3 linked regions of the Macaca fascicularis genome follow. The protein of the gene in region 3 binds, or shares a complex with, the protein of the main gene of each other region. Links are inferred from orthologs where the notes say so. Each region holds a gene or a part of one and is shown on either strand. Other genes may lie near its edges. The genes, in order: CAPZA2, CAPZA1 and S100B.

What was found.
Region 1: the proteins of S100B (region 3) and CAPZA2 are in contact, whole or in part, in a crystal structure (PDB 3RM1), measured with the Bos taurus proteins. The link is inferred for Macaca fascicularis from reciprocal best matches to the Homo sapiens genes S100B and CAPZA2. Residues at the interface, in NP_001029727.1 of Bos taurus: Ile37, His43, Phe44, Leu45, Glu46, Ile48, Lys56, Val57, Thr60, Phe77, Met80, Ile81, Ala84, Cys85, Phe88; in NP_001013016.1 of Bos taurus: Thr267, Lys268, Ile269, Trp271, Ile274, Leu275.
Region 2: the proteins of S100B (region 3) and CAPZA1 are in contact, whole or in part, in an NMR structure (PDB 1MQ1), measured with the Homo sapiens proteins. The link is inferred for Macaca fascicularis from reciprocal best matches to the Homo sapiens genes S100B and CAPZA1. Residues at the interface, in NP_006263.1 of Homo sapiens: Glu46, Glu47, Lys49, Val53, Lys56, Val57, Thr60, Phe77, Met80, Val81, Ala84, Cys85, Glu87; in NP_006126.1 of Homo sapiens: Thr265, Arg266, Ile269, Asp270, Trp271, Asn272, Lys273, Ile274, Leu275.

What each region holds. Positions count from the first base shown.
Region 1 is NC_088377.1:158,305,315-158,316,033, forward strand, and holds the start of CAPZA2 (F-actin-capping protein subunit alpha-2), read left to right. Parts: upstream 1-5,263; 5' UTR 5,264-5,353; coding exon 5,354-5,392; intron 5,393-10,719. UniProt on the Homo sapiens protein: F-actin-capping proteins bind in a Ca(2+)-independent manner to the fast growing ends of actin filaments (barbed end) thereby blocking the exchange of subunits at these ends.
Region 2 is NC_088375.1:121,754,628-121,765,335, reverse strand, and holds the start of CAPZA1 (F-actin-capping protein subunit alpha-1), read left to right. Parts: upstream 1-5,780; 5' UTR 5,781-6,268; coding exon of another isoform or gene 6,269-6,269; 5' UTR 6,270-6,453; coding exon 6,454-6,492; intron 6,493-6,518; exon of another isoform or gene 6,519-6,882; intron 6,883-10,708. Other genes in the region: ST7L (suppressor of tumorigenicity 7 protein-like), read right to left, coding at 3,137-3,219, 5,524-5,728. UniProt on the Homo sapiens protein: F-actin-capping proteins bind in a Ca(2+)-independent manner to the fast growing ends of actin filaments (barbed end) thereby blocking the exchange of subunits at these ends.
Region 3 is NC_088377.1:519,543-530,211, reverse strand, and holds S100B (protein S100-B), read right to left. Parts: upstream 6,838-10,669; 5' UTR 6,768-6,837; intron 4,217-6,767; exon of another isoform or gene 4,210-4,216; 5' UTR 4,209-4,209; coding exon 4,071-4,208; intron 1,292-4,070; coding exon 1,151-1,291; 3' UTR 750-1,150; downstream 1-749. UniProt on the Homo sapiens protein: Small zinc- and- and calcium-binding protein that is highly expressed in astrocytes and constitutes one of the most abundant soluble proteins in brain.

The sequences.
Region 1 (10,719 bases), about 160 Mb from region 3:
GAAATGGAAGCCTGCAGAGTCAGTTCCTTAAAGTTAACTAGAGCTAGAACAAAGATCAGAATCCAGGATTTAGTGATTATAAAATCTTTGTACCGGTCAGGCGTGGTAGCTCACGCCTGTAATCCCAGCACTTTGGAAGGCTGAGGCTGGTGGATCACGAGGTCAGGAGATCGAGACCATCCTGGCCAACATGGTGAAACCCCGTCTCTACTAAAAATACAACAATTAGCCGGGTGTGGTGGTGCATGCCTATCATCCCAGCTACTCGGGAGGCTGAGGCAGTAGAATCATTTGAACCCGGGAGGCAGAGATTGCAGTGAGCAGAGATGGTGCCACTGCACTCCAGCCTGGCAACAGAGTGAGGCGAGACTCCATCTCAAAAAAAAAAAAAAAAAGAAAAGAAAAAGAAAAAGAAAAAGAAGGTCTTCAATAATTCCTGAGTAACTCTAGAATGATCTATGTCAGGCTTCTCCAGGGGCACGACTTGTGTGTACCTTTTCAAAACTAGCTGAGGAAATGGACCACAGGTAGGATACACTCAACTATCAATAACTTAAGCAATTATTTGTTTAGAAAGACAATTACTTTTAAAATATATGTGATTTTTAACACTTTTCCAGAGCCATAAAGGACTTTACTTGAGACCAGTTGTGTTAATTAACCATGACATTAACAAACAACCAAATGTTAGTTGTCTAACATTGATAGTTTTTCTCAGAAGTGAGGTAAGTCAAACTTTTAAGCTGCAGATGTTATTTTTCTGGTGCAGAGATGGTATTATAGAAGTCTATATCTGGTACAATAATTTAATGTTCACACAGTAATACTATTAATCATCTTATTTTACATTATTTGATATGGATATGTACATGAAAGAACATGAGTCTGACCATCAGGATACTTGGATTTTAAAATAATATTAACTAGATATGCAATTTTTATTGTGATGTCATTTATTTATCTAAGGCTCAACTCATCTGTAAAGAGAGAGATTTGTAGTAGATGCACCCTAAAATTGTTTTTCTATGAAATTGGGTAACCTCTGGTCTTGACAAGTTTAAAATGTAGTTGAGTAATTTCAGTATATCCATAGGAAAATAGATGTAAAAGTATACAATTAACTTAAAAACAAACACTGTAAAAGGAAGAAAAATTCTGGTGATGTTAATTGGAAAGACCAAGATCAGACCACGAATAAGTAGAAGAGAGGTAAGTTTGGCAAGGCGCGGTGTCTCACGCCTGTAATCCCAGGGGTTCGAGACCAGCCTGGTCAACATGGTGAAACCCCGTCTTTACTAAAAATACAAGCATTAGCTGGGCATGGTGGCAGGCGCCTGTAGTCCCAGCTACTCGGGAGGCTGAGGCTGGAGAATAGCTTGAACCCAGGAGGCAGAGGTTACAGTGAGCTGAAATCATGCCACTGCACTCCAGCCTGGGGGACAGAGCAAGACTCTGTCTGTCTCAAAAAAAAAAAAAAAAGAAAGAAAGAAAGAAAAGAAGAAGAGAGCTAAGTTTGGAAATTAATTAAGAATAGTTAGAAATTCTTAGTAGGTAAAATCATGGATAGGATAAATATTTTGTTTATTTTCTCCTCCTCATAAAATAACTGATTATCCAAGAATACCAGTACATTTCTCCTTGCAGTCATATAATAATCATTTCATATTTTACCTTTTTGTGTAACAACTTAAACTCTTTCTAGAATACAGAGGCTATGTAAATTTTAGAATTGATTTTAATTGTGCCAAAAGGGTGGTATTGGGAGATTACTGAAAAGATTATCAGAAATTATACATAATTGTGGGTTGTGTCACTATGGCAAACCACATACAGTGATACATGTATTGTATCACTAAGGTTACAATTATAAACACACTCTGACTCAAATTATTGCAAAACATTACCATATTTGGGTGAGGTTTCTAGAGGAAGAGAGCAACCAATTAATCAAGCAATATTTGCTGAGTATCTACTGTATACAAAATACTAATATAGGTGTTGCCAAGTAAACAAGAGAAAAGAACAGAAAAAAACAAAACCAGAAGTACTGCTGATGCAGCACGGGGTGGTGAATTGAATTTACAGGATGGGATAGTAATTGCCTTCATTAAGTTTTATTTGGTGGAGAGTGCCCAGACTTAAGAGGAAGAAAGAAAAATCTTGCAGTGGAAAGAACATGAAATATAAAATAAGATGCCTAGGTTCCAATCCCAGCTTGGTCACTTAGGAGCTGTGCAATCTCCTTCCTTCCTTCCTTCTTTCCTTCCTTCCTTCCTTCCTTCCTTCCTTCCTTCCTTCCTTCTTTCTTTCCTTTCTCTCTCTCTCTTCTCTCTCTCTCTCTCTCTCTCTCTCTCTCTCTCTCTCTCTCTCTCTCTCCCCCCTCCCCCGCTCTGGAGTTTTGCTCTTGTTGCCCAGGCAACCTCCACCTCCTGGGTTCAAGTAATTCTCTTGCCTCAGCCTCCCAAGTAGCTGGGATTACAGGTGTGAGCCACCACTCCCAGGTAATTTTTGTGTTTTTAGTAGAGACAGGGTTTCGTCATGTTGGCCAGGCTGGTCTCAAACTCCTGACCTCAGGTGATCTGCACACCTCAGCCTCCCAAAGTGCTGGGATCTATGCAATCTTAAATCATTTAGCCTCATTTTTTTCTTCTGTAAAATGGGTATAATGGTAGTGATAAGCACCTTTCTTCATGAGGTTGCGGTGAGAAATCAATGAAGCAATGATTTGTAATCTGTAAGAGTAAATATGTTAATTTTCGTCCATTGTTACCCTTGGTTAAACTATGTGGTTTATCCTCTTTATCTTCTTCACAACGTTTATCATCGAAAGGACACCTGCTTTTTTCTGCCTGTGTCAGCATGCTTCTCCTTCCTGTTCTCTCCCCAAATGAACCATCAGTTTTTCAATAGCATAGCTGCTGCTTGCTGTCCATTCACAAAAAACAATGATTTGCACATTACGAACACCCAGTAAATTACTTAATAATAGGGTCGTGCATCTGAACATTTATTTCATACTCTCACATTTCATTTATGTGCAGCTGTCAGATTCATCTTGCTGCACGTTTCTGATCATGTCATGTCACTGTTCAAAAGTTCTCAACAGTTCCTCACAGAATCTGAACGCCTGTCTTAAACCCTAAGGCCTTACCACTCAAAACGTGGTCTCCAGATCAGGAACACTGGCATCAGCTGGGAGCCTGTTATTCCACAGGCTGTATTCTGGAGAAAACAGATTCTCCAGCCTCATGCCAGATCTATTGAATTAGCAACTTCATTTTCACAAGATTCCCAATTGATTCATATATATGCAGCTTTGATTACATGTTTAATCTCTCATAAACTTCAAGCTTCAAAAGCAGGGTTGCTAGATTTAGCAAATAAAAGTAAAGGATGTCCAGTAAAATTTGAAAACAATGAGTAATTTTTAAGTATGTCTCCAACGCTTCATGGGACATACTTTTCAAAAGATTGCTTATCTGCAATTCACTTTTGATTAAGTGTCCTATATTTAATATGGCAACCCTATTCAGGAGGGTAGGATCCATGTCTAACATAACTTTGTATTCCCCTGGAATAGTACAGTGCCTTCCCCAACTGTTTTTGTTTTGTTTTGTTTTGTTTTGTTTTTTGAGACAGAGTCTCGCTCTGTCACCCAGGCTAGAGTACAGTGGCGCGACCTTGGCTCACTGACACCTCCACCTCCCAGGTTGCAATGACTTCTGCAACTCTCCTGCCTCAGCCTCCCCAGTAGCTGGTATTACAGGCATGCGCCACCACTCCAGGCTAATTTTTGTATTTTAGTAGAGATGGGGTTTCTCCATGTTGGCCAATCTGGTCACGAACTCCTGACCTCACATGATCTGCTGCCGAGACCTCCCAAAGTGCTGGGATTACCGGCGTGAGTCACCACGCCCGGCCCCAACTGTTCAATATATGTTTGTTTAATGAGTACAAAAATGAGCTTCTTGAGAACAGAAGTTTCTCTTTTTATTTCAATAGTTTTGGAGTACAGGTGGATTTTTGGTTACATGGGTAAGTCCTTCAGTGGTAATTTCTGAGATTTTAGTGCACCCATCACCTGAGCAGTGTACCCTGTACCCAATATGTAGTAATTTATCCCCTCCCCAGTCCCCAAAGTCCATTTTATCATTCTTATGCCTTTGCACACTAACAGCTTAGCTCCCACTTATAAGTGAGAACATAAAATATTTGGTTTCCCATTCCTGAGTTACTTCACTTAGAATAATGGCCTCCAGCTCCTTCCAAGTTGCTGCAAAAGGCATTATTTCGTTCCTTTTTATGGCTGAGTAGTATTCCATGATGTATATACCCACATTTGCTCTATCCACTCATTGGTTGATGGACACTTAGGTTGGTTCCATTTCTCTGTAATTGCGAATTGTGGTGCTATGAACAGGCGTGTCTAGCTTGTTTTTTTCTCCCTCAACACTATAGCCCCAGAGACTAACACAGTGCCCCGCACCCCGTTAAAGGACCAGAAAATATTTGTTGGATGAATAAAGGAATATATAAAGAGCAATCTTTCAATTATGGAGCGGGTCGTGTGTGTGTATTTTAATGAAAGCCGACTATTTAATTTTTTGTTTGTTTGTTTGTTTTTTGTTTTTTGTTTTTTTTTTGAGACAGAGTCTCGCTCTGCCGCCCAGGCTAGAGTGCAGTGGCGTGATCTTGGCTCACTGCAAGCTCCGCCTCCCGGGTTCACGCCATTCTCCTGCCTCAGCCTCCCGAGTAGCTGGGACTACAGGCGCCCGCCACCTCGCCCGGCTAGTTTTTTTGTATTTTTTAGTAGAGACGGGGTTTCACCGTGTCAGCCAGGATGGTCTCGATCTCCTGACCTCGTGATCCGCCCGTCTCGGCCTCCCAAAGTGCTGGGATTACAGGCTTGAGCCACCGCGCCCGGCTATTTAATATTTTTTTAAAAACAATGTTTAAAAAGCTTCTATTTGTCCACCTTTTCAGATTTTAGCTGGCAGAGTTCAAGACTTGATAGAAACATAACGAAGGGCTCAGAATGTACTCATCGCAGACTGAGCCCATATGGTCACTGTGGGGAGAGAACGTTACACTCACGATGCTAGCAAGCCTGCTGCAGGCGGCCCCGGGAGACAACGTCCCCCGCCCGGCCACCAGGCACCCGCGCACGCGCACAGCCGCGCTCAGTCCCCGAGGGCCGGGTCGAGGGAGGCGGGGCTCTCGGGGCGCGTGCGCGGCGACCTGAGCGGCGGGCCCCTCCCTTAGCGGGGGCGCGCGGCGCTGAGGACCGCACGGAAGCGGGGAAGTCAGGTGGCCGCTGCCGCCGCCGCCGCCGCGGTTTGTCGCCAGAAGGAAGATGGCGGATCTGGAGGAGCAGTTGTCTGATGAAGAGAAGGTAAGAGTCGTGGGGGTGGCGGCGCCGGCCGTCGGGAGCCGGCTCAGCCCGGGCGGGTGGGCCCAGAGTCTGGTCGCGGGGGATGGGCATTGGCTCGCAGCTGGCGGTGCCCTCGTCTGCCCTTCTTCCCCCATCCTTGCTGCGCCGAGTGCCTGCCCCTGTCCGTCACCCGAGGCCCCGCGCGGGGGCAGGTCTTTGCCAGGCCTGCTCGCTCCGCTCCTTGTAGGGTGTGTACTCCGAAAATAGGAAGCGGGAGCCGGGCGACGGCGGGCGGGGGCGCGGGCGCGGGGGAGGGCGGCGGCTGCCCGGGACTCTCTCCTGCTATCCGGCCGCGGAGCCTGCGCCGGGGGCCGGGGACCGGGGACGCAAAGGGGTCTGCGTCCGTGCCTGGGAGCGGCCCAAGGGCAGTGCCCAGCGCGGCGGCCTGGCCTGTGAGTGTAGCGGCGGGTGAGGGGGAAGGGAAAAATCGCTTAGGAAGCAGACCTTCACTTCTCCCTTCTACTTCCCCCTCCCCAAAACAAAACGCTTCCTTTTCTGATTCTCTACGGTTTATCCCTTTTTTTTCCCTTTCCCTATGGAGGCCTCTCTCTCTCCCTCTCTCTTTCGTTTCATGGCTCTAGCAGTAAGCTTTGCAGCTCCCATGTTCCCCGGGAGGCAGCGGAGTTGCTCACAAAAAGACGACCCCCTCCCCATAGTTGTTTTCTGCCCACGTTGTCAGCATTCTCCCCGGGGGTCGATTTGGTGTCACGTCACCTTCCTGCTAGGACTTCTTCCGAGAGGGGAAATTGTTCTACTCCTTTTACTGTATGTCAGATGCTGTGACAGCAGTGGAACCAGATGAACTACTTAAGTTCTCAGATATTTAAAAGGAGCAATGGAATAATTCATTGAACTGCTGCTCTCTTAATTCGCCCCTTTCGTTTGGCTTTCGTGAACGTCCCATTCCTGAGGGTGGTGGGATAGGGGAGAACCCTGCTAATTTTGACTGTTTCTCGGAAAGGACACTGACGTTTCTCAAACTTAGAAGTAACTGACAGAACATACGAGTGAGTTAGTTGTAGGGTTGGAAATGTCCACTCTTCGTTAAAGAGTGCTCCATTTTTAAATTTCAAAGCAGTACAGCCAATGGAGGAAAATACAGGTACATTTAGGTACGTTGTGGTGTTTAAGAAATCCTCGTGTAAGTCTAAGAATATTTTCATTTGGGACCCTCTGCTCTAGGTGTTTTTATATGCTGTGTTCTTGCACCGAAATAGAAGGTTCTGTCCCATTCCCAATGTGAATGGTCAGAAGTCAGCCTCATCTTTATTTTCGGAAATCTGTCTTTCTCTTGTGTTGTTTGGTGAAAGTGATAATACAACAACAAAATGGGGGCGAGCAACGTCTCCATAACCCACAGACCCAGTAGGCAGATCCCTGTATCCACAAAAGTTGCTATACAGTATTGAATGTATAATCTTGGTAAATAACCCTAAGTAGGTGACTGAAAATGTACAGGAGTGCACAAACGCATATTTAAAATTGAGTCGTGCTAAAAAGCTTAAAAAGAGATTGTCGTGTTTTTATTCTACCATTCTTAAGTGGTGATTAGTAGCTCAAGTGGCTAGAAATCTAGCTGAAGAGAGAATACTCAGTGTGGGAGTTAATAAGACCTGCCATGTGTTGTAAAGGCCTAAAATTAAAAAGTTTTTTAAAAATGAGATAACAAGATGCCTTATTATCCGGCACTCTCAGGGCACTAAGCTTCATAAAGAGGAATGAGGAGGTTCTATGTCTTAAAGCCTGCGCCGCCTAGTAGCAAAATGTTTTATGGTTAAATGAATGAAAATTCTAATTTGATTTTTGGTGTTTTGTAAGAATATTATGTAGATATTTTACATATAAATTTCATCACTATATTTACTAATTTAAAAACTGAGAAAACTTTTAGGTTAAATTCAAGTAACCAGTTAAGTGAAATTTTAACGTTCTTGTCAATTGAGATATCTAAAGGTTGTTTTCATTTTGGGGCAGGAGGATGTGTCCAGTATGGGATCAGAAAACAGAGAGGACTTAAAAGTGATATTTTGATATTACTCTTTCTACGCCTTATTGGTAATTTTCAAAAATAAGCTGTCAAGCTGGGCATGGTGGTTTGCACCTGTAATGCCAGCTACTCTGGATGCCAAGGTATGGAGGATTGCTTGAGCCCAGGAGTTGTAGACCAGCCTGGGCAACAAAGCGAGACCTCATCTCTAAAAAAAAAATACTAAGTTTTGAATACTTTTAAGTTTTTGAGATTTCCATTCTAGATTGCAAATCTGAGGAAGGGAAGCTGTTAAGATGTATCTAGTACTGTACTTTATATATGCTTGGCTCAGTTAGATCCATTCATTACTTAATTTGTTGTTGTAAGAGGTAGTTGTTCTATTTCCATTTCACAGATGAGTAGAGTGAGGTTCAAAAGCTTTAAGTAGTTCACCCAAGGACAGTCAAGATGAAGGTCTTGTTACATTATGCTCTCTTCTTTTTTTTTTTTGAGACAGAGTCCCCCTCTGTTGCCCAGCCTGGAGTGCAGTGGTGCAATCTCGGCTCACTGCAACCTGTGCCTCCTGGGCTCAAGCGATTCTCCTGACTCAGCCTGCTGAGTAGCTGGGATTACAGGCACGTGCTACCATGCCCAGCTAATTTTTGTATTTTTAGTAGAGGCGGGGTTTCACTATGTTGTCCAGGCTGGTCTTGAACTCCTGACCTCAGGTGATCCACCTCCCTCGGCCTCCCAAAGTGCTGGGATTACAGGTGTGAGCCACCGTGCCCAGCCGACATTATGCTTTCTTAAACAAAATTGATAAAAACCTCTTCTGGTTTTGTCTCTTCATTTTTAATTTGTTGACAGCTTATTTTGAAAAAGGAGAAACGTTGGTTCTTCCTTTTTTCTTTTTTAGACAGGGTCTCACTCTGTCACCCAGGCTAGAGTGCAGTGGTGATCATGCCTCACTGCAACCTCAACTTCCTGGGCTCAAGCAGTCCTCTCACCTCAGTCTCCCCAAGTAGCTGGGAGTACACGCAGGCGTGCCACCACACCCAGCTAATTTAAAAATTTTTTTTATAGAGACAAGGTCTCACGATGTTGTCCAGGCTGATCTCAAACTCCGGCTCAAGCAATCCTCCCACTTGGGCCTCCTAAAGTGCTGGCATTACAGGCATGAGCCATGATTCCTGGCCCTTTTTTAAAAAGTAATACCAAACAAGTAGTGTTAAGTTCTAAATTTTTGTCTTGATCATTTTAGAATAAAGCTTATTATTAACACATTTAAATGTGTTATGCTACTGGTAGGAAGCATTTTAGAAATTAATCTAGAATAATAGTTTTGCTTTTTAAAGTCATACACAATTGCTTTTTAAGGCTATCACTATGAAATTTAATAACCTTTTCTCCTTTGGCCACTGGGTGAATGGGAAATACATTTAGCTGAAGACCACAATGAAGTTCTTTAAAGCTCTTAACTTGTATAGTGTGTCCCATAGACTTTTTTACATAGTTACAGAAACCCTAGACCCAAAACAGTTCATTGTCATTCCTGGGTCAGCTGTATTGTACAGTAAAGCATTTTTGTGAATTTGAAATTATATGAAATAGTTGTGTAAGACTCAATTGAAAAGACCCATTCCGAAACCTCTCTCTGGATGAGAGATTCAAGTTCCAGAAGGAATACACTTAGTTACTGATGGGAAAGGATCTTTTTTCTTCCTGTAACCCTTTACTTCAGTGATTACAATAATCTATCCCATAGCTTCAACTTTTACGTCTTTGCAGATGTCTCCCAGGTACATAGCTGTAGCACTAACTTCTTTCCAGATTACTGGTCAGATTTTTATCTGCTAGTCATGTTCACTGGAGATGGTTAATTAGGTACGTACAAATGGAGCTTGCCTAGAAGTAAATGTATGAACTCCCTTCTTCTTTCCTCTCACACAAAGGGGGATATAATCTATCTCTCTTGATAATTTTTCTCTTTATATCTTTATTCCCATTATTCCAGTCATCCTGGTTTTTAATTTCAGCTTTATTCTAACTTTTTTTGGCCCCGTACCTTACAATCAACTGGTAAAAGTTGTCACTTCCATCATCAAAATGTATTATACAAATAACTTATTTCTTGCTTGAAAAGTCAATTCATTTATATTAATACTTGGTTTATTATCTCTTCATTGACCTGATTATTAAATAATGTTTGGTAACAAAATTTCACTGTACAAACAGAATGCAACTTGATTATACTTGTTCTGTGCCAACAGTTAAGAAGTAAAGTCAAGAAAAATTTCTCATATCCATTCTTTCCCTTCTGTTGTATTTGCCACTGTTAGGCTTTTACTATAAAGTTTCTAGACTAATTCCTCCTGTTTCCTGTATCTAAGCCATGCTTTATTGTGTCATTTATCTACTCTCAAAATTTTAGTGCCTGGATCCTCCATTGCCTTTACAAGGAAGTCCAGCTCTTAAAAAATGGTATTCATGGCCTTGTATTCCATTTTAACCGAAATAGTTCTGACATTTTCAATATATATTGTTACTTAATCGTGCTGTGAATTTAGAGAGACTTCAGAGAACTGCATACTAGTTCATTTCTCTCTCTCTCTCTCTTTTTTTTTTTTTTTTTTTTTTGAGACAGATTCTCATTCTGTCACCCAGGCTGGAGTGCAGTGGCACAATCTCAGCTCACTGCAACCTCCGTCTCCCAGGCCCAAGCAATTCTCCTGTCCTCCTGTCTTAGCCTCCTGAGTAGCTGGGACTACAGGCACATGCCTGTGTGCCTGGCTAATTTTTGTGTTTTTAGTAGAGATGGGGTTTCACCATGTTGCCCAGGCTGGTCTGGAACTCCTGAGCTCAGGTGATCTGCCTGCCTTGGCCTCCTAAAGTGCTGGGATTACAGGCGTAGGCATGAGCCACCACTCCCAGCCACTGGTCCATTTCCAGCACCTCAGATAAATTATTTAATCTTAACTTCAGTTTGCTCTGAAATGTTAGAATGTGGTAGTAAGTTACCTTCTTCATTAAGTTGTTGTAAGTCTATTGGGCTTGGCATGTAGTAAGCACACAATAAATTGTAGTTATTTTTCTCTGCTCATGACTTTTCATCTACTTTGAGTATTGGCACTGCTCCCAGGTCTGTCCCCTTTTTTGAAACATGAAAATCTCAGTCATCCCTTAAGATTTAGCTTAGATTACACAGCTTTTTTAGCCTCTCATCTGAACTCTACAAGAGATCGTTAGTATTAAATACAATTTTGCATAATAGTTATTTACTTACTGTTTTTTCCCTTTTCCATTGGAATTCCTAAGTGCA
Region 2 (10,708 bases), on a different chromosome or scaffold from region 3:
CAGACACGAGACACCATACCTGGCCACAAAAAGTTTTTTACAAGGTTTTAGACATCATGTATATAAGTAAGTTATCCCCCTCTTATAAATGAGGAAATTATAGCTTAGACTGTTTATGTAGCTTGCCCAAAATTATCAGCTAGTAAGTGGCAGAGTCAAGATTCAAATTTTATCTTCTGTTCCCAAACCAGTGCTTTTTCCACTACATCAGCTGTTTAATATTGGTAGTTTCTTTAAAACAAACAGACAAACAAAAAAACTACATTAAATAGAGACAGAGTCTTATTGTTGCCCAGGCTGGTCTCAAACTTCTGGCATTAAGGGATTCTCCCACTCCATCCGCCCAAAGTGTTGGGATTACAGGTGTAAACCACTGTGCCTGGCTTAAAGATAGTTTATTATCTTTACTTAGACTTTTGTATGCTATGGACTAAATATGCTAAAATATGTTTATGTTAAATTATGAGGCTTATATTAACATGTAGTTTTAATCCTGAATTCCTCAATAGTTTCTATTTTTTAAGCCAAGAGAAAAATCTCGTTCTTGTATGGCATTTCACTTTAACAAAATGGTCTGTATTAGTCCCTATTTAAAAAAACAGATCCAATACAAATGCTATTTCTACTACAGCTGGAGAGCACCACCTAGAGATAAAAAAAAAAGAACAGGCTGGGCATGGTGGTTCATGCCTGGAACCTTAGCACTTTGGGAGGCCAAGGAGAGTGGATCGTTTGTGCCCAGGGGTCTGAGACCACCATGAACAACACAGTGAGACTCCATCTCTACAAAAAATAAATAAAAATTTAAAGACAATAGAAAAATCTATTGGCTATGCATGGCATAAAACTTCTTAAGATTTTTATCTGCAGCAGTATTGTTGCAAAGTGTACACTAGGAAACATGACATCCTAGGGATGTTAATGTGAATTATAAAAAATATTTTAATTTTCTTAAATTAAAAATATCTTCTTCAAGGAAAAGTTGAATTAAAGCTGAACAGTTTTGTTGTTTTTGCTTTTGTTTTTTGAAACACAGTCTTGTTCTGTCACCCAGGTTAAAGTGCAGCGGCACCATCTTGGCTCACTGTAACCTCTCCCTCCAGGGTTCAAGTGATCCTCCCACCTTGGCCTCCCCAGTAGCTGGGACTATAGGTGCATGCTACACATGGCTAATTTTTGTATTTTTTTGATTTTGCCATGTTTCCCAGGCTGGTCTTGAACTCCATCAGCCCACCTCGGTCTCCCAAAGTGCTAGAATTATAGGCATGAACCCCTATGTCAGGTCAAACAGGTTTCTTAACTGTGAGAATTCTCAGAATAATAATAGCCAAAATTCATTAAGTGTACACTCTGAACCAGCTACCATGTTATAAACTTACAACATTATCTGATTTAGTCTTCATAATCCTATAAAGTTCATGCTGTTATTAACCTCAGTTAACAGATGAGGAAATGGGCTTGAAAAACCTATAGGTTGAATTTATGACACATAATTTTAGTCTTCCCAGTGTTGCCAATTTAAAATACTGTAGTCAGACATGGTGGCACATGCATGTAATCCCAGCTAGTAGGGAGGCTGGGATGGGAGGACGGCTTGAGCCCAGGAGTTAAGGCCACAGTGTGTTATAATGGTGCCTATGAATAGTGACTGCACTCTGGCCTGGGCAATGTAGTGAGACTCCATCTCAATTTTTTTTTTAATGGGCAAATTTTATATAAAAACTGTATATCCAGGTTCTATTTATTTATTTATTCATTCATTTTTGAGACAGGGTTTCTCTCTGTCATCCAGGTTGGAGTGCAGTGGCAAGATCTTGGTTCACTGCAACCTCCACTTCCCGAGTTCAAGAGATTCTTATGCCTCAGCCTCCCAAGTAGCTGGGACTACAGGCACGCACCACGATACTGTTACTTTTTATATTTTAGTAGATGGAGTTTCACCATGTTGGCCAGGCTGTTCATGAACTCCTGGCCTCAAGTGATCTGCCTGCTTCAGGCTTCCAAAGTGCTGGGATTATAGGCATGAGCCACCACGCCCGGTCTATCTGGGTTCTCTTTAAATCATTTGAAAAATTGAAAAACCTGGTAATACTAGTTGCAAGTCTATATGGCAACAATTAGTTTTAGCCTCTTTAATTTTTTTATTTTTCATTTTTTTTGAGACGGAGTTTCACTTTTGTTGCCCAGGCTGGAGTGCAATGGTGCAATCTTGGCTCAATGCAACCTCCGTCTCCTGGGTTCAAGCGATCCTCCTGCCTCAGCCTCCTGAGTAGCTGGGATTACAGGCATGCGCCACCACCCTGGCTAATTTTTTGCATTTTTAGTAGAGACGGGGTTTCTCCATGTTGGTTGGGCTGGTCTCGAACTCCCGACCTCAGGTGATCCACCCGCCTTGGCCTCCCGAAGTGCTGGGATTACGGGCTTGAGCCACCGCGCCCGGCCTTAGCCTCTTTTAGAAGGGGCATGCACTGTCCAGGCTACCCAGTCCTCAAAGAAATAAGAATTTAATTATTAAACTCTATCCATTTCACTCATTTTTGTTACCAACTTGGGCTCTGCAGGCATTTAATTTCCAGTACACCCCAAGCCCTCCCTGACTACAGTTTACAATAAGCCTTTAATATGTAAATAAATACTGTCAATCTCTAAAAGTAGATTGGGAGATGCAGTGTTCCCCAAACTTGTTTGAATAGGTAATCTTTTCAAATGCTGAATACATTTTAGAAATGCTGATCCATAGGTAATAATAATTTATAAATATTATAACCATATAAAGGATCTTTAGGCCAGGGTGGTGCCTGATGCCTGTAATCCCAGCACTTTCAGAGGCCAAGTCAGGCGGATCACCTGAGGTCAGGAGTTCGAGACCAGCCTGACCAATGTGGTGAAACACTGTCTCTACTAAAAATACAAAAATTATCTGAGCATGGTAGCCGGCACCTGTAATCCCAGCTACTCGGGAGGCTGAGACAGGAGAATTAGTTGAACCTGGGAGGTGGAGGTTGCATGAGCCAAGATCATGCCACCGTACTCTAGCCTGGGCGACGGAGCAAGACTCCGTCTCAAAAAAGGAAAAAAAAAAAAAAATCTTTAGATAAATACCAAAACATGAAGGAAGGAAATGGAAACTACTTACAAATATTAGTCCTGATATCAATGAAGATGTCCCTGTAAGTGCCACATAGAATTTGGGTGTCAATGAATTTAAAAATACAGTCACTGTCAAAAGAACAAGAATCAAAGTTTTAAAAAATGCAAATTTAATGTACTTAGGTTACAAATATGCGAGTATCTTTATGAGTGATGGGACTTAAGTCGTATTAATATCTAGTGTGAAATTCACTTGAAAAAGTTTTAATTTGTATACATAATATACATAATGGCTTATAACTATTTGCAACAAATCAAAATGAGGTAATTCAGCTTGCTTTAAAGAATAAAACTAAAGCACTTATAAGTCATAATTTAGACAAGAACGTTTGCAAGTCTGTAAGAATAAGAAGATAAACAAACATGCTTTTACAAAGGAGGTTCAAAACGACTCCATAATTATTTTGGTAGGATACAAAACCACTGTCTCAAATTAGAGGGAAGGAAACAGTGTATGTATTTGGCATATCAGCTAGAGAGGCAAAATGGCTCAAAGAGAAAAGCAACAAACAGAAATCTCCCTGACTTACTGAAATCCTGGAGCAGATTGTTCACTTCAAATAATTATCTCATAAGTACGGTGGGTTTTAGAAAGAAATAAAAATCTGGCCAGGTAGGATGGCTCACTCCCATAATCTTATAGTTTTGGGAAGCTAAGGCAGGAGGATCGCTGGTAGCCAGGAGTTCAAGACCAGCCTAGGCAAATAAAATAGACCCAGTCTCTATGCAAAATTTAAAACTCAGCTGGTCATGGTGGTGCACGCCTGTAGTTCCAGCTACTTGGAAGGCTGAGGCCAGAAGATCGCTTGAGCAAAAGAGTTCAAGGCTGCAGTGATCTTGCCACTGCACTCCAGCGTGGGTGACAGAGGGAGACTCTGTCTCACAAAAAATAAAAAAGAAAAAGTAAAAAAGCAAAATCTACAGTAATCAACTATTCTCATCTAAATGTATATGGTTAACATGTAGAAAAATAAATGACAAGTCGGCCGGGCGTGGTGGCTCACGCCTGTAATCCCACCACATTGGGAGGCCGAGGCAGGCGGATCACGAGGTCAGGAGATGGAGACCATTCTGGCTAACACGGTGAAACCCCATCTCTACTAAAAACACACACACACACAAATCAGCCAGGCGAGGTGGCGGCCGCCTGTAATCCCAGCTACTTGAGAGGCTGAGGCAGGAGAATGGCATGAACCCGGGAAGCGGACCTTGCAGTGAGCCGAGATCGCACCACTGCACTCCAGTCTGGGCGACAGAGCGAGACTCCGTCTCAAAAATAAATAAATAAATAAATAAATGACAAGTCAATCAGTAACACTGTGCATAGAAACCGCCGTTAAGCACTTCATTCACCTGTTACAGAGATGCCAAGTTAGCTCTTCAGTTTAGCTTATTTTAGTGTGCTAGTTATATTTGAACTTGATACCTTATCCTCCAAAAAAGCCAAAATATTTCCGAACTTTACCTCACAGTCTTTCATGTTATCTCTGAACAGGAAAGGGGACATTCGCTACCTTCTGCTACAGAAAAATCAACCACTGTACTGAATCATATAACAGAAATACTTCTTTCTTGTTCTGAGGTTGCTGCTCAGAGCTTGAGTGAAATATAATCACATGGTAAGGGGATCTGGGCCCTAAACACTTTATCCCGTCTACAACTAAAGAATAGTACAGTATATGAGAATCCATCAGGATCATCACTTCTTACATGTGTTAGTATTTTCAGCACAGACTACATAGCAAGTGTTCTACAGATGTCGAAAGAACTAGCAAACCGACAGTTGTTTGTGGCGCTCTCTCACTTCCTGTACTACATTACTCAAGATAAGCCTAAAAGAACAGACAAAAATATCACGACAACTATTTCTTAACAGAACTATTTTAAAACAAGAGAATCGTCAATTAAAATCATGCCATTTTCTTTCTCTGAAATCTTTAAATTACAGATGTGCTCATCTTTGTTGCCTGGATATGAGTTCTCTCAGCTGGGCGGCGAGACACTCAAAGCAGTGACTTTATGGGATCCTACCAGAGGCGGGGGAGCCAATATAAATTACGTATCCTAATCTGAGAATGCACCCTTCTGTCCTAATACCTGAAGCTTATAGCTTGTCAGGTGGCTTTTCCACGGAAAAACGAGGACATAAGAGAAAGGACGGACCTTAAGAGTTCTAGGGAGGAGCCGGTAGAGGCAGCAGGCTTGACAATCAATTGCAAGGTTGCAGTCCAAAAGAAAAAGAACCCACTTGATCGCTCATCATCGACTCCTCAGAGGCCCTCTAGGACTACCGAGAATCTCTTGCCCTTTGGCTCTTGCCCCCGACATCTCTCCTGGCCCCCCGCCCTGCCCCAGGAGGTCTGGTCCTCTCACCCGCTGCCAAATTCTCACACAGCCTCAAAGGGATCCTCAGAGCGTAAAGCAGCCCCAGCCCCGCCACTAACCACACCGAGACCCCAGTCCCCGCCAGCCCGGCTCGCAGTCGCTCCCTCCAGCCCAACGTCGGGTTTAGGCCGGGGACAGGTGCAGGAGACGCTCTAGCAGCCGCGGCTTCACCCGAGCCGCCACCGTCCGCCATCTTGCCGCTATCGCAGGAGCCAGGAGCTGGGAGGGGAGAAGGACAGGAAACCGGGAGTCGGGAATCCTGGGATAGTGGCGGACCTGAAGTTGGCCTCTCTGAAGGCTGAGTCCTGGGGAACCCGGACCGAGAAGATTTCGAAGGTGGAGGAGCGTGTCTCAAGATTGAGGATACCTATTCCTTTGTGGGGCAGGGAAGGGGCGGACAGCAGCGCCTGTTCTGGAGGAATTGGACTAAGATGTGACCCCAAAGTGAAGTATTACCGCTTCCAAACGAAATGAGGGTCACCTTTCACACCCCCGCCCCCCGGGGTTGGAAAAGCCACCGATCGTTCCAGCGGCCGAGCAGCTCTTAGAGCTTTGGATTCGGCTGTCGTGGAGATAACGGGTACCAGAAAAACTGCAAGAGCGACTTGGTCGGATGGAGGCCAGGAGCCAAGAATAATCGAAACACGCTGCCAGCACCCATTAGATGGATGGGAAATGAGTGTAACTCATTGGGAAAGATATTAGACTTTAAATCACCGAAGGCAAAGCCTACTTCCTGGGGCGCGGGCGCGGGCGCTGGCACTAGTAGACGTCACTCCCGCGCATAACTGACATGGCGCCCTCTTGGTCGGCGTTTCCGGGCGGGTCCTTCCGACGGCCCCCGCGGTGATTCCATCACTCGGCTTTCTTCCCGGCCTGCCTAGCGCCCACAGCCGGGCTGGGCCAGAACAGCCCAAGATGGCCGACTTCGATGATCGTGTGTCGGATGAGGAGAAGGTAAGGGGTCCGCCTCTCTCTCTTACCTCCTCCCCCGACAGGGAACTGGGGCTCGGCCCGGCTGCGTTGGGAGCCTCGCAGTGTCCCCAGGAAAAAGAAGCTTCTTTGTCAATGCTGACATACGCTCTCCGCAGTCGGGACGCTTCCCTCTTACGGGGCTTTCCTCTGCCTCACGGTGGCCCCAGTTCCTCGTTCCTCGACTCTCCTTTTCTCTCAGGCCTGAGGCACAGCCCAGGGGCCTCCCTGCGAGGGAACAGACGTTTCCTTTATTAGATCGTGACTGTGGACTTTTTTCCTGTAATTTTGAGAGTGGGTGGTGGTTATGTTGCTACATATCAAAAAGCAGTTATTTTACCGCCTTTAGCAGTTGGTGCTAACCCCCATCCCCCCATTTGTAGATATAATTGGGGTTAGTTTAGGGCGAGTCACTTCCTGGTCAGGATGGCCTCTTCCTTTTTGCTCCTCCTTCCTCAGGAAGTGATTTTGCTGTCACGACTCCTCGACAAGGAGAGGTCCCAAATGTTGTCCACCTCACTACACATGCAGTACTTTTCTCAAGTACTGTCGCCTGTCTGATTCGCTATAATAAATCTGTGAGCCTCAGGGCATGTGCTTCACAATTTGAGCACTAGTCTTTCCCTGTAGACACACCCTTTTAACGATAATTTTTGAAAATTTTGTTTCTTGTTAACAAATGTAGAATAACTGATGGATTTTCTTAACCTCAAGAAAGATTTTCTGTAACAGATAATAAACTGCATGTTAACACGTTCAAGACTTGACAAAGCGTCCTGCCTTCTCTGGTGCTCCACTGTGGAGTCTTTGATTAGCTGAATTTGTCAGTGTGCAGTTTGTATACTTATTTCTTGAAAAGCGTTTTAAATACAAGAGCACATTCTAAGGTGGAATAACTTTTCTTCTGACATTTGCACAGTTTCATAACAGTTTTGTCAGGCTTTTCAGTAAGTACATGATTTTAGGGCACGTGGAACTTAGAATGACCTCACGAGACAACTTACTTACAAGAATTATGACATTTGTCTCCTGCTGTGGCTATTGGAAAATGTGTCCCCTTGAGTGCTCTGTAAATCTACCAGGGTGTTTTTTTAAATAAGAAGTTGGGATGGGGAGGGGACTGTTATGATCCATAAGTCCTCTGCACCGAATAACTTGATACATCATACCTACATATGGCATGCCATTTTGAAATGCTTAACAAGCCATTGAACAACAGCATTAGATTTTCTCTTATTTGGAAACTGATCTTCATACATAAGATTTAGGACAAAAACAAAGACATATATGAGCTTATGCTGGAAATCAATCTATAATAAATTGTTCTAAGGCAAATAGTTACTATTCAAATAAAATTAAGCAAAAATCCTGTTATAATACAAATCCTGTTACAACTAAACAAATTTTTTTTTTTTTTTTTTGAAACGGAGTCTCGCTGGGCTCACTGCAACTTCCGCCTCCCGAGTTCAAATGATTCTCCTGCCTCAGCTTCCCAAGTAGCTGGGATTACAGGCACCCGCCAACACGTCAAGCTAATTTTTGTATTTCTTGTAGAGACTGAATTTCGTCTTGTTGCCCAGGCAGGTCTCAAACTCTTGGGCTCAAGTCCATCCGCCTCCGCCACTTAAGTGCTGGGTTTACAGGCGTAAGCCACCGCGCCCGGTCAAAATTCCACAAATAATTTAAATAATAAACTTTTAAGTTTATTGTGCCTACATGATACACATTGACCAGTGTTGTTGGATTTTTGTCTTCGATACCAGGTTAGAATGCCTTTAATTAAACTTGGGAAAGTATATTTTTTAAAATGCCAATTAAGATGTCTTTAAATACTGGCAGTGTTTTAATAACATTAACGTGTTGGGTTTTTTTTGTTTTGTTTTGTTTTGAGTTGGAGTTTCGCTCTGTCACCCCGGGTGATGTGCAGTGGTGCGATCGCTGCAACCTCTGCCTCTCTGGTTCCAGCGATTCTCCTGCCTCAGCCTCTCGAGTAGCTAGGATTACAGGCGCCTGTCACCACGCCTGGCTAATTTTTTTGTATTGTTAGTAGAGACAGGGTTTCACTATGTTGGCCAGGCTGGTCTCCAACTCCTGACCTCGTGATCTGCCCGCCTTGGCTTCCCAAAGTGCTGGGATAACAGGCGTGAGCCACTGCGCCCGGCCAGTCTTGGTTTTTTTAATAGCAGATCTGTGACCAGTTTCGTCTTCTAGCATAGTTTTTTTTGTTGCCAAATATATTTCAATATTGCTTTTTATCTTGGTTACATTTTCTAAAGGCAGTAAACCTTTAGAAAATTTGGTGATAATGAATGGACTCTAATTTCCTTATAAATATGTATGTAAAAGCTAGTAAAATCATCTGTTCTCATAACTGCTGAAGTTTTTTTAATCACTTTGTAAAAAGGAAGTTGGGTTTTGTTACCTGAAATGGTCATGATGAGCTATCTAAATAAAACAGGAAGTTGAAAGTGTAGTAACTTTTAGAAATAAACGTTTTAGTTGTAGCTTTGAGTTCACAGTTTCTGAGAATGAACCTGAGCTCTTTAGTTACATGCTTAGCAAGACAAAGATACCATAATTAGGAAGCCTGAAATATGAGATGAATTACTTCTTTGGGTTCTTTTCATTGTCTGTTTTTTTTATTTCATTCAACATTTGTAAAACATAAAAGCAAAGATAATTTTCTGGAAAAAAGTGTGATTAGCATATTTTTTCCCTTTAGCCTAACTAGAAGAATATTTGTGTACAATTTCAAAAGTATGGTAATTGAGAAGTTATGCTTTCAGTTTAGACTAATGCTTTCAGTAATAAGGTGACGTTTTCAGTATTAAGAAAAACTACATGCTTTCAGTTTAGACAACGGTAGTGGTTTTAAGGCATTTTTGAGAATCAAGTTTATCAGAATTATTTAGTAGAGCTGTAGAAAATGCTGTAAAGAGATGAAATATGAAGGCTCTGTTAGAGCATATGAAAAATATTTATACTTTTTTTTTAAACAGAGTCTCGCACTGTCTCCCAGCAGGTTGGAGTGCAATGGCACGATCTCGGCTCACTGCAACCTCCACCTCCCGGGTTCAAACGATTCTGCTGCCTCAGCCTCCCAAGTAGCTGGGATTACAGGCACCTGCTACCACACCCAGCTAATTTTTTGTATTTTTAGTAGAAACAGGGTTTCAGTATGTTGGCCAGGCTGGTCTCAAACTCCTGACCTCATTATCCGCCCTCCTCGGCCTCCCAAAGTGCTGAGATTACAGGCGTGAGCCACTGTACCCACCAAATATTTATACTTTTAAACTGGATCCTTGATTATGTATTACCTCCATAATTTGCTAGTTACCATTGTAGGATAAAGCAAGCCCTAAAGATTGTTTGGTGTGGCTGCTTTCTAACGAGTCATCAATTAATATTAAAACTGTCATTCTTCCATCTTCACTTTTCAGTTAGCTTTGCTGAGAGGTATTCATATAATCTGTTAAGAAATCCTAGGACAGGCTGGGCTCGGTGGCTCACGCCTGTAATCCCAACACTCTGGGAGGCCAAGGTGGGCGCATCACCTAAGATCGGGAGTTCGAGACCAGCCTGACCAACATGGAGAAACCCCGTCTTTACTAAAAATACAAAAATTAGCTGGGCACAGTCGCGCATGCCTGTAATCCCAGCTACTCGGGAGGCTGAGGCAGGAGAATTGCTGGAACCTGGGAAGCGGAGGTTGCGGTGAGCCGAGATGGCGCTATTGCACTCCAACCTGAGCAACAAGAGTGAAACTCCGTCTCAAAAAAAGAAAAGAAAAAGAAATCCTAGGACAGGAACATAAAGCCTAATAAGCAAGTGTAAACTCACATGTCCAGTCTTTTGTTAGTAGTATTGATTTATCATAATTTCTTCCAGAACACTTGGCTGTTTTATTATGACTAGGCTTAATGCTAAACAAAGTAGTGTAAATTTGTCAGAAAATTCAGATCCCAGGTTTTTCTGATTGTGTAGCCATGCTTTTTTCACTATACTGTTCTTTTCCATATAGCTATGAATGAAAAACTAGAGTAGAGGCTTCCATCTAATGGATTATAAACGAGGTAGTATGGGTCGGGGGTGATGGCTCACGTTTGTAATCCCAAACTTTGGGAGGCCAAGGCTGTCGGATCATCTGAGGTCAGGAGTTCGAGACCAGCCTGACCAACATGGTGAAACCCCGTCTCTACTA
Region 3 (10,669 bases):
GAGCACGTGACAACCCACCGGAAATCCCCTGTGGAGTGGCCCCCGGAAGCCCCTGGGGAAGCCTCCCTGTCGCGGGGGCACTGGGTGTCCACATTCGTTGCTTGCGTTCCCTTTCGATGGCGCTGGGGCGCTGTTGCTGCGCTTTTTTTTTTTTTCCTGAGACGGAGTCTCGCTCTGTCGCCCAGGCTGGAGTGCAGTGGCGCGATCTCGGCTCACTGCAAGCTCCGCCTCCGGGTTCAAGCGATTCTCCTGCCTCAGCCTCCCGAGTAGCTGGGATTACAGGCTCCCGGCACCACACCTGGCTAATTTTTGTATTTTTAGTAGAGACGGGGTTTCACCCTGTTGGTCAGGCTGGCCTCCAGCTCCTGACCTTGTGATCCGCCTGCCTCGGCCTCCCAAGCTGTGCTCTTTTTATTGAAGGCAGGCCCTCTTGGTGGCTCAGAGCCCCCGGTAGTGCCCTCGGAAGCCGCATGTGCTGGAGGCACATTGGAGGCGAGGATCCTGCAGCTGCGACTTGAGTCTCATGGGGCACGGAAGCGGCTGGAGCCCCCAGAGCTGGCTCGGGTTCCGAGTTCTGACCGAGTTGCTTTTTCCAGGAGGGCTGCCAGCATTGAATGTTCACCTGGTGGTCAGGCGCATCCCGGGAAGCAGGCCGAGGCCACCACGCCCTTGCAGGGTCACACCAGCCAACCAGGTGTTACCTGCATGGATGAGGAACGCGTTTAAAGAACAGCAGTGTTTTCCAATGATGCTGGATAAGGCTTTGTTTTTTAAAGGTAACGGATGCTTTAAGGGTGCCCCAGGGTAATTTCTGTAGCCAGGGTTCCCTCCGGGTTAGGGTCTACACGGCCATGGCGGGCTGCACAGTGCACGCTTTATCACTGAGAACTGACTCCTAAGTGACTGTTAACAAGAGTCCATGGGGCCAGTCAGCTTACACACAGGCCTAATATAGCAGAAAGAATGATGCAGGCTGTTAAAACAGCCTTTGGAAAGAGGTTTTCAATTTTTCACTCACAAAGCAAATCAAGCTTCCTAATTAGCTACAACACGGCTGGAAAGCTCAGCTCCTACTAGGCCGCAAGCCCTTGCTGTCTGCTTTCTTGTGTGACCATCTCTGTTACGGGAACGGCTTGGCTGTTTTCTAATCTCACTCGTGTTCAAAGAACTCGTGGCAGGCAGTGGTAACCATGGCAACAAAGGCCATAAATTCCTGGAAGTCGCATTCGCCATCTCCATCACTGTCCAGTGTTTCCATAACTTTGTCCACAACCTCTTGCTCTTTGATTTCCTAAGAGAGATAAAAGAAGTTGCCAACCTTGTTTTTAAATGGAATTGTGGACCATCAAAACATGATTAAAAGTTGAGTGACTGATAATTTGTGTCTGCAGTAAGCTGAGAACATCAAATGCGAAATATCAGGAAAGATGTCTCATGTGACCAGGGGGCTGTTGTCCAAGTAGACGTCTCTGGGGGTCAGTGTCTGGCCCTGGGCTACTGGAAAAGGCTGAATGGAACAGCCAAGAGGTGAAAAACTGTAGGTTGTTATCTTACTTAAAATACCTGAAAAAAAATAAAAAAATAAAAAAATAAAAAGAATATCATCTAGATCAGCCCTAGCAAATGTCTTGAAATAAAAATAAACTTTTGGCCCTCCTAAACTTTTCATGGGTTCTGTGTGTGGAAGTCCCTGTCTTAAAGACTTCCAGTGGAACGCAATGTTTTGAAAGTCGTCTTTGTTGCTGAAGTAACTCTTGGGAACGTCCTAGATTTGTTAACCCTGTATTCTTCTTCCCACTCGAATTGCTTTCTAGGTGTCATGAAACTTTTTCCTGACAGTTCTGCCTGACATTGGAGCTGAATGAATGGCGTGGCTATTAAGTGATGTACAAAGCCTCAGAGGAACAACCACAGTGCAGGGCTACAGATGTAGTGGGAAATATTTGGGTATTGAACACTGATGAAGAGCAGAGTAACAATTCCCCGGGACAGGAAGGCTTGGCCTGAAGAAGTCAAGTGTGATGTATAACAGCCACCTTGGCTATAAGACACACAGGGGCCGGACGTGGTGGCTCACACCTGTAATCCCAGCACTTTGGGAAGCTGAGGCAGGAGGATCACTTGAGCCCAGGAAGTTTGAGACCAGCCTGGGCAACACAGGGAGACTCCATCTCTACAAAGAAAAAAAAAAACAATTATCTGGGTGTGGTCCATATGCCCATATTCCCAGCTACTCAGGAGGCTGAGGCGGGAGGATTGCTTGAGCCTGGGAGGTTGAGGCTGCAGTGAGCCAAGATTGCACCATTGCACTCCAGCCTGGGTGACTGAGCAAGACCTTATCTGAAAAACTAAATAAACAAAACATACAGAAGATTGTAACTCCATGGGGGTAGGGGTGGGGAGGCACCTGTGGATGGGCAGGAGCAGGGCACTAACTTCAATTACATTATAGATCTGCTTCTGAACTGAAATTACCTTGATAAAACCAGGGAGCAAATGTTCGTGATGCCTTGAAATGCTTACCATGAATTATTTATCATTTACAAATTGAGATTCCCACATGCTAAGCTTTTTCTATGTATAAAAATAATTAATAATAGCTACTATTAGTTGAGCTTTCACTATATGTTAAGCACTTAAGCACTGTCCCGTTTCATCCTCACAACAGCCCTTGTTCAGAAGAACCTGGGACTTTCAGTTCAAGTCAGAAGGCATGATTGGTGGAACTAGAAAACTGCGTCTGTGAGTGGGACTGCTGTCACTCTGTGGACTTGAATGCCTGAGAAAACCAGTCCTGGAATCAGACGTGGGGATGCCCACTGCAAGCTTGCAGGCCTGTCTGCTCCACTCTGAACCATTCACAGTGGTGCGGTGTTTGGTGGAAGTGCGGACAGGAGAACCAGCCAGCCCCCATCCCCCTGCCCTGAAAACATGGACTGCTGGGCTGCTGGAGCCCAGGGCTTGCTGTCTTGCACTGAGAGGCTTGGCCAGCTTAGGAGGGCAGCTCCCCATTCCCATGCAGCAGAGCCCTGCCCTAGTATTTACGCTGGAATCAGGACTTGGTGAGACACTAGTGCACTGGCTCATTTTCTGGTCATTTCTCCCTTTTGTGATTGCTCATATCGGTGACCCAGGAAGCCCTTCATTGCATCTCACACGTGCACACCACCAGTGCTTCACTCTGGCTCAAGGCATGCCTCAAGCCAGCCTTGGTTCTAAGAGAGCATCAGGTACCAGGGGGATCACAGTTCACTTCCATGAGGGCATGAGGTGGGCAGTAAAGACAGGTGGGTCTGATCCAAGGACAGCGGAGAGAGTGGGTAAGAAAATGAGTCCTAATGCAAGGGTCTGGACATACTTCCACCACAAGCCACAGCAGGAACTGCCTGAAGAACAGGGCTCACCAGGAACCCTCATACAGCTTCCAAAAGTAGGGGCCCCAACTAAAGACAGTTCCTCACCAACATATGTTACTCCACGGAGCCTCCTGCAAAGCCCCAGGGCTTCCAAGGATGTGTACAGACCCCTGTCACGCCCTCAGTTAAGCCAGTCATGGTCATTCATCCATGTGCCAGGGTGGGTGCCCCAGAGCAGAAGCCATGACTGTCATGCCTGCATATCTCACAGTTCTTAATTAGTGCTCAGTCAGTGTTTACTGAGTGAAAGTCTGGCATGTCTTATCTCCATAGTAAATACTAAACATCTAGCTAAGCCAAAATACATCCTTTTCCTAAAAACTTTCCCAAAGCTTATTTTTAACAGTTTCCTTTTATGTTCACTTTGGCCCATGGTAAGTAATGAGTCCAGCATTATTTGGGAAGCTTTGGCCTTTGGGACCTTGATGCACCGATTGTACACAAGATGGTTGATAAGGACATGAAAACAAGGGGCCTATATGAGCCAGTCCCACACTGAAGGTTCCGTTACTCAAACAAGTTTGCAGAAGCAGCCCAGGAGTCCTGGAAGGAAACTGAAATCACCTTCAGTGCAGCTGAGAAGATAAAGCCAGTGTACCGGTGGCTTTTTAAGAGGAGATGGAGAAGGTGTCAAGTGTAAAAAGCAAGACTCACCTCTAAGAAATGGGAAAGCTCATTGTTGATGAGCTCCTTCAGTTCGGATTTCTTCAGCTTGTGCTTGTCTCCCTCCCTTCCAGAATATTGGTGGAAAACGTCGATGAGGGCCACCATGGCTTTCTCCAGCTCAGACATCCTAGGGGCTCGCAAAGGAAAGATGCCTTCTCATCTATACCTCATCATAAAACATTTCACAGGTTATCAATACAGACCGCAACCCAGACAAGGGGGATGGACTGGCCCTGGCACTCTTTTCAAGCTCAGAACAGCAGGCATGACCTGGAGGGGCATTCTGGGAATTTGTACCTTTATCAATCCTTCCACCTGCCTCTTAGACAGATGTGAGCCTTCTCTGTCTCTGTGGGCCACAGGGATATATTCCCATGCCCTCTGGCTTCTGGTTGGGTTGGTCCAACAGGGAATCTTTAGCAAAAATACAGACGCAGAGCAGCAAAGGAATTCACGGGTTAAATTTCTGCTTCCTCCCCACACGGTCCCTCTCTGTTCTTGTAAGGCTCCAAGATGAGGTGGTAGAGTGCAGGTGAGCAAACCATCGACTACAAGCTGTTAAAATCAATCTGAAAGTGAGACAGTGACTAGGAGCAAAATAAGACAAAAATCAAGAGCATTCCTATATTCTATCAATAAAGAAATAGAAAATCCAGTGCGAAATATTCTATTCATATAGAAATAGCATGTGATCTAAGACTAAGTTTAGGAAGAAAAATGCAGGTCCTTCCAAGAGATTCGGAGGAACATAAAATGTAGGAAGTTTTTCCTTTAAATTCATATGTAAATTTAAATCATTTTTAATAAAAATGATGGAATTTTTTTTGGATGTGTGACATGACAAAAACAGCTGTAAAATTCATCTGGAAAAATAAATATGGTAGAATTGCCACAATCTTTTTGAAGAATAACAGTGAAAGTTATTTGATCTACCAGGAAAAAAAATGTATCCTAAGTTTAACTGATTAAATGCGTGTGGTTCTGTGGCAGGGAGGGACAGAATCCGGCAGGAAGCTGAGCTGCTGAGCCTGCATTCTACCTCCAGTGCAGGGAAAGGCTGGTTCATTCACTGCAGTGACTGGGACGGGGCAGGAATAGGTGTTTCTCTGCAGCTGTCAAAGTAAGATCCCTCCGACCTCCCTCACAGCAAGTACCTTACGCCACAGCCTGCAAACCAAGGAAATATCTCATCAGTCTGGGAATGAGGCGCCTTCTACAAAGGATGCCTTGTCAGTTGTCTCACAAAACAGATGGGCAGGCCGAGAAATTTACCAGCTTTTGGCCTTGAGTTCTAATCATCAAATAAGAACATTTGCACTGTTATAATTAAAAATAAATTAATAAATAGTGTTGAAAAATCATTCCCATGTTGAATATATGACTTACATCTTAAAAATAATTTGGAATTAGATGTTAAAAATTTTATTTATTTCTGATGCTCCAAAGGAAACAGGATTGAAGATTTTTTTGTGCTGGCTAGATCTTTGCTAAAGGCATTCTATTAATAATCAGTGTACTTTATTTTGCTCTTGAGTCCCTAAAAATTTGGTAATTCATAAATAGAACAGTTAAGATGGATTAAAATCTTTAACATTTCATGCTTTTCTTATTCTTTGCACTCAAGTTTTCAATTATTGATATATGTGTGTGTATTTTTTTTGAACAAAACAAAACAAGACACTTTTACATCATTCTGATGCTCCTCAAAGTCCATGATGATTTGGGGAAAAGGAGGTTAAATTGTTTTTCTATGAACTATGACTAACGAGATTATTACAAAGGAAGGCATAAAACATGTATTCCATATATTAGAACACTAATAGAAACCACTAGAAAATATGGTTTTCTTCATAACCACGCTACAAATCAATTAAAAAATTCTTGTTAAATTTTTCCCTTTGACTTAATAAATAGTTGATGGTTTATAGTTTATCTTTTAAGAGAAATGGAAATAAATATGTTTCTTTCTCACATTCTGTGAATGTCCTACATTAATCTTTTAATATTGAGAACAAGAGAACATTTGAACTTTAACTCCTTAGAAAGACACGTTACCTAGCGTGTGAGGATCCCTCTAGGGGTTCAACCTCCCTAAGAAACTGTGAGACTGAAGAAAGTTAAAACCCACCAAAACCCCAATTTCTTTGACTCAATTTATTTGTAACTGTTACGTAATTTCTGAGTGGCGTCCTGGGGCTGTTGTCACCCTGGCACTTCAAACTGAGGGAAACTGGAAAACTGAAGAGTTACTTACCCAGGGCGGTGGAAAAAGTAACAAGGAGAAAAGGGGTTTATTTAGGATATGGACTAAACTAGCATTAGGTTCTCCATCATTTCCAGCTGCAGTGGGAAGCAAAATCTTTACTCTTCAAGTAGTTACAGGAGAGGTAGTATTTGTAGCACCACTGGGAAAATGTCAGCAATCACTTCTGGGCCGAGACCTGAGGTTTCTCTGATTTATGAAAAATACCTCTAGCTGCCTAGGGCTGATGCAGTCAGGTGTCCACAAAGAAGCAATAATGTAGAGATTAAAACACATCATCCTATTGACACTTCTGAAGTGCTGCCAATTGTCCTAAAGGGGGTTTTTAAGCTACCATTTAGTTTCTACCCCTCCATTCCCTTCCACCCAAACGAAAACAACCATTTCTTCCTGAGCATCCTCTTGGCCTGGCTCTTTCTCACCTCTTCCTTGTCTCACCCCTTCCTGGTCTCCTTGCTGCGGGCCTCGTGTCTGCTGCGGGTCCTGGGCGGCAGGTCTAGTGGGCAGAGGCAGCCTCTTATTCCGTCTGCCCAGGGAGGACGGATGAACCCTGGTGCAGCCCACTGCAGGCCATGGCAGCCAATGGGGGCCGAGGGCGGGGGTGGCAGGGCTGCCAGGCCTGCACACAGGGCTGCATTGACCAAGCAGCCCCGGGGACTTGCTGGGAGCCAGGATTGCACATGGGCTGAGGAAGAAAAAAGGGCCTGTAGGGCAGGAAGTGGGGAGTCAGCTTTTTGTGTGATTTATTTATTACATGAATATTGATGTTCCCCTAAAGGCAAGGTTGGGGGTAGGGAGAGGAGAGAGACTTGGATTAATTGATTCAAACAAAGCAAATGTGCAGCCAAGAACAAGCAGCTTGCAAGTACAGGCTGAGCGTAGGAGATTAAGTGGCCTGCAAGCTGGTTTCTAATGGAGAGGCCCCTGGAGCTTCTCTCCTCTGCCAGCCTCCACGTCTGGCCCCACCGGGCGTGAGGTTCTGTGGACGGTAGTGCTTGTCTGTGGTCGGCCCTGGGCTCAACGGGGCTGCCTCAGAGAAGCTGCTGAACCCAGTGTCTGCAGGGACTAAAAAGGGTGGTACTTTTAGGGGAAAACATGATGTGTGGATTGTATCCCAAGGCCTTTCCCTCCATCCCAGGGTAGAAGGTCACAGACTGTCAGAGTTGGACAATGCCTTAGAGATGTCCTGTGCGAATGCTGTTTTACAGAGGCGTGTGGACGGTGTACCCCTTGCTGAAGGCTCCAGCCAGCCTGAAGAAGGAGAAGTCCAGCTGTCCCCTCAACTTGTTGACCTGAGCCTCTGAACACGGGGGCCAGTTTGTGGGTTCTTCCTCACAAGAGTGAGGAAGTAGGTGTTCCTTCTGACAAATTACACAAAAGCATTGGCCCAAACTCTACAAACGTGTCCATGGTCCCCAACCGATGCCTGACCCAGCATCAGGTCCTTCTCCCAACCCAGTTTCGAAGTGGCCGTGAAAGGGTTTCCCACGAGATATCTGCGTACACGGCTGTTTTGCTGTCATTGCTTTATCTAGGAAGTTCTTTACCATTCAGGATCTATAAGTGTGCCCTGGAAATAGCACAGGGCCGAGAGCTGTGGTCTTGCGTGGGTCAGCCTGCCCCAGGCTCCTGTGAGGAACGGCCTGAGCCGGTTGGTTGGCCCTCACTTCCTCTTAAGCTTCACCAACCCTGGCTGTGGTCTCTGCTGAAGGATCCGCACAGGCTTGCTCTGTGAAGCACAGAGCTTGCCCAGGCCCAAGGAAGGCACAACTGTGCTCTGTGCCCCTTCCTCGCTCAGATGTTGGAGGGACCATTCCGGTAAGTGCTGACCACTTCCCCAGAGTGGCAGCCTGAACTCTGGATTCACCCTTCAGTAGCCATAGAAAACGCTCCAGCCTGCTCCTGCAGGGGTTAAAAACAGTTTGAAACCCACTCATGCAATGACCGTACACCTGTGCCTGGGACACTGCGTTCAGCAGGAGGGCCCAGGCGGGCCTGCCCTCAGCACACTGCAGCTTCCTGGGATGGCAAGTGCTGGGCAGTGGGTCCACCCTGTTCCCAGGTCTTGGGAGCAGGCTGAGAGAGAGGATCTGCCACAGGAAGGAGAGGGACTTCCAAGCACTCTGGGGCCCCAGGATGGTACTGTCTGCCCAGGCTCCCCGGGAGCGCGTGGACACAACCTCACCAGCTTCCCACAGACGCCTACAATTTCTGGGTCTGAATCTTGGCTCCACCATTTAACAGTGGTTTGACTTTGGATAAATTACTAAGCCTTTCTGTGAAAGGGGTGACCATAGTCACCTTGGCAGGATTGTTCTGCGTGTTTTTCCCTGACCTTCACACTTCCAGATCACCCTGGCTTACTCGTCCTGACCCCTCAGTTTTGATCTTATCTGTGACTCGCACATTCACCCACCCCCTGCAGCTATATTCCACAGGAAGACCCTTCACTGAGTAATGCGAAATGCATTGTTGAGTGAGTGGAACACCTGAAAAGTTCCATGGTCTATAGCCTACATATGACCATATGGATTGCTGGACTAGACCTCTGATTTCAGTGAGATGATAATATTTCAGAGTAGCAGGCTAAGACAAGGTGGGCATGTCAGCCATAAACAGCAGAAGGAACACACCAGTAATCAAAACGCCTTGGTCCACAGAGATTTTTGGCAGTGGTCAATTGCTCACGGTGTTCCTCAGAATGAAGAGATGGACAGTTGCTAGAGCGGTCTTTAATCCACACAACAGGAAGACCTCTAGGTCTGGTCACCAAAATACCTACCTTGAATCACCACAGTGGAGATCATGGGCTCTCTCCAAGTTTCCAGACCTAAGTTGGGTCAGACCTAGGGCATCTTGATTGAAGGGAAAAGCCAAGGCCACTTGAGAAAGAATCTGTGCTAGCGAGAAAGAATACCACAAACCCTCCTCCACACCTGTTCTGACGTGCCCTGCAGCCATCAACTAATGAAAAGGAAATAACCTAGATGTCTCAGGGATTGCCTCCTTTGACATGAATTCCTGGGAACCAAAAATGTCACTGTGGCTCACCAGTCAAAGTAGGAACTTGTGATGGTCGGGTCTTCACTTGATAGAGGTTCTAACTCGAGACCGACTCGCAGGGGGCCCAGTTGGTACACTATTCTCCCTATAGTTAGTTTTTCAGTTCCTGGTTGTATAATTGAAACAAACATACACTAGCTAAATCCCCTCACTCACTCTCTTATGTATGAGATGAGGACCATGATGGTAGGAGAAGTTTGGTGAAAGTCTCAGAACTTCCCCTTCTTATCCAGAAATAGTGAATCCCTGGAAGAGCTTTGGAGATTAATGCCACCCTTAAAGAGCTGAAATAAGCAGGCGCTGTGACACTTCGTTCAAACTCATTTAACTGGCCACTTTGACCTGTGCAAAACTCATACTGTTACCAGAAAAAGGGGTCTCGATCCAGACCTAAAGAGGGTGTTCCTGGATCTCACGCAGGAAGGAATTCAAGGTGAGTTGCAGAGTGAAGTGAGAAGAGAGTTTATTGAAAGCTCTTACATTCCATTACAGAGTAGGGCATTCTCAGAAAGCAAGCAGAGGAATTCACTGTCTTTAAGTTTTTCTTATATAGAGGTTTTGTCTATAAAGATTCAACTCAGCTGTGACTATATGCGGGCGAGCAGACAGCATGGCAAAATTATTATTCTATTGATCCAAAGAAAACTATCCTTAAGATTTTAGCGTGTGCATACATTAAAACATAACTCTTGTTATCTTGAAAGCGTACATTGTTTGGGTACTGGGATGTCTGCAATCTCCGTTGTGTCCTTGGAGGTATCGTTCAGCTGTTTCCTCAGCTATAAACATCTTAGGTCTGTGGGTTTTGACTGCAAGAAATGTGCCTTGTTAGTCTCAAGGTGGAGCTGAACTTAAAGTGGCATTACTCTGACTCTCCTAGGCGCCTGCTTCTCCAACAATATGGATTATGAAGAATGTGGACCATTGCAAATGTAATCAGCTGGTGACTTCACTTACAACCGCTGTGCCAGATGAGAAATCTCTACTGAGAAAATCAACATATTCCCTGGCACTTTGCATGCAGCTACTGATCTTACTAATGCTTTTTTCTCAAACCAATTTGCAAGAACCACCAGAAGCAGTTTACCTTTACCTGACAGGGTGAACGGTATACACTCACAGTGTTGCCTGAAGGACATGCCAGTTCTTCTGTTCTATGCAATAATATTTTCTCCAGAGATCTAGTCATCTGGTCAGTTCACAAAACATTACACTGGTCCACTAATATTCACAATATTATGCTTATTGAATCTGATAAACA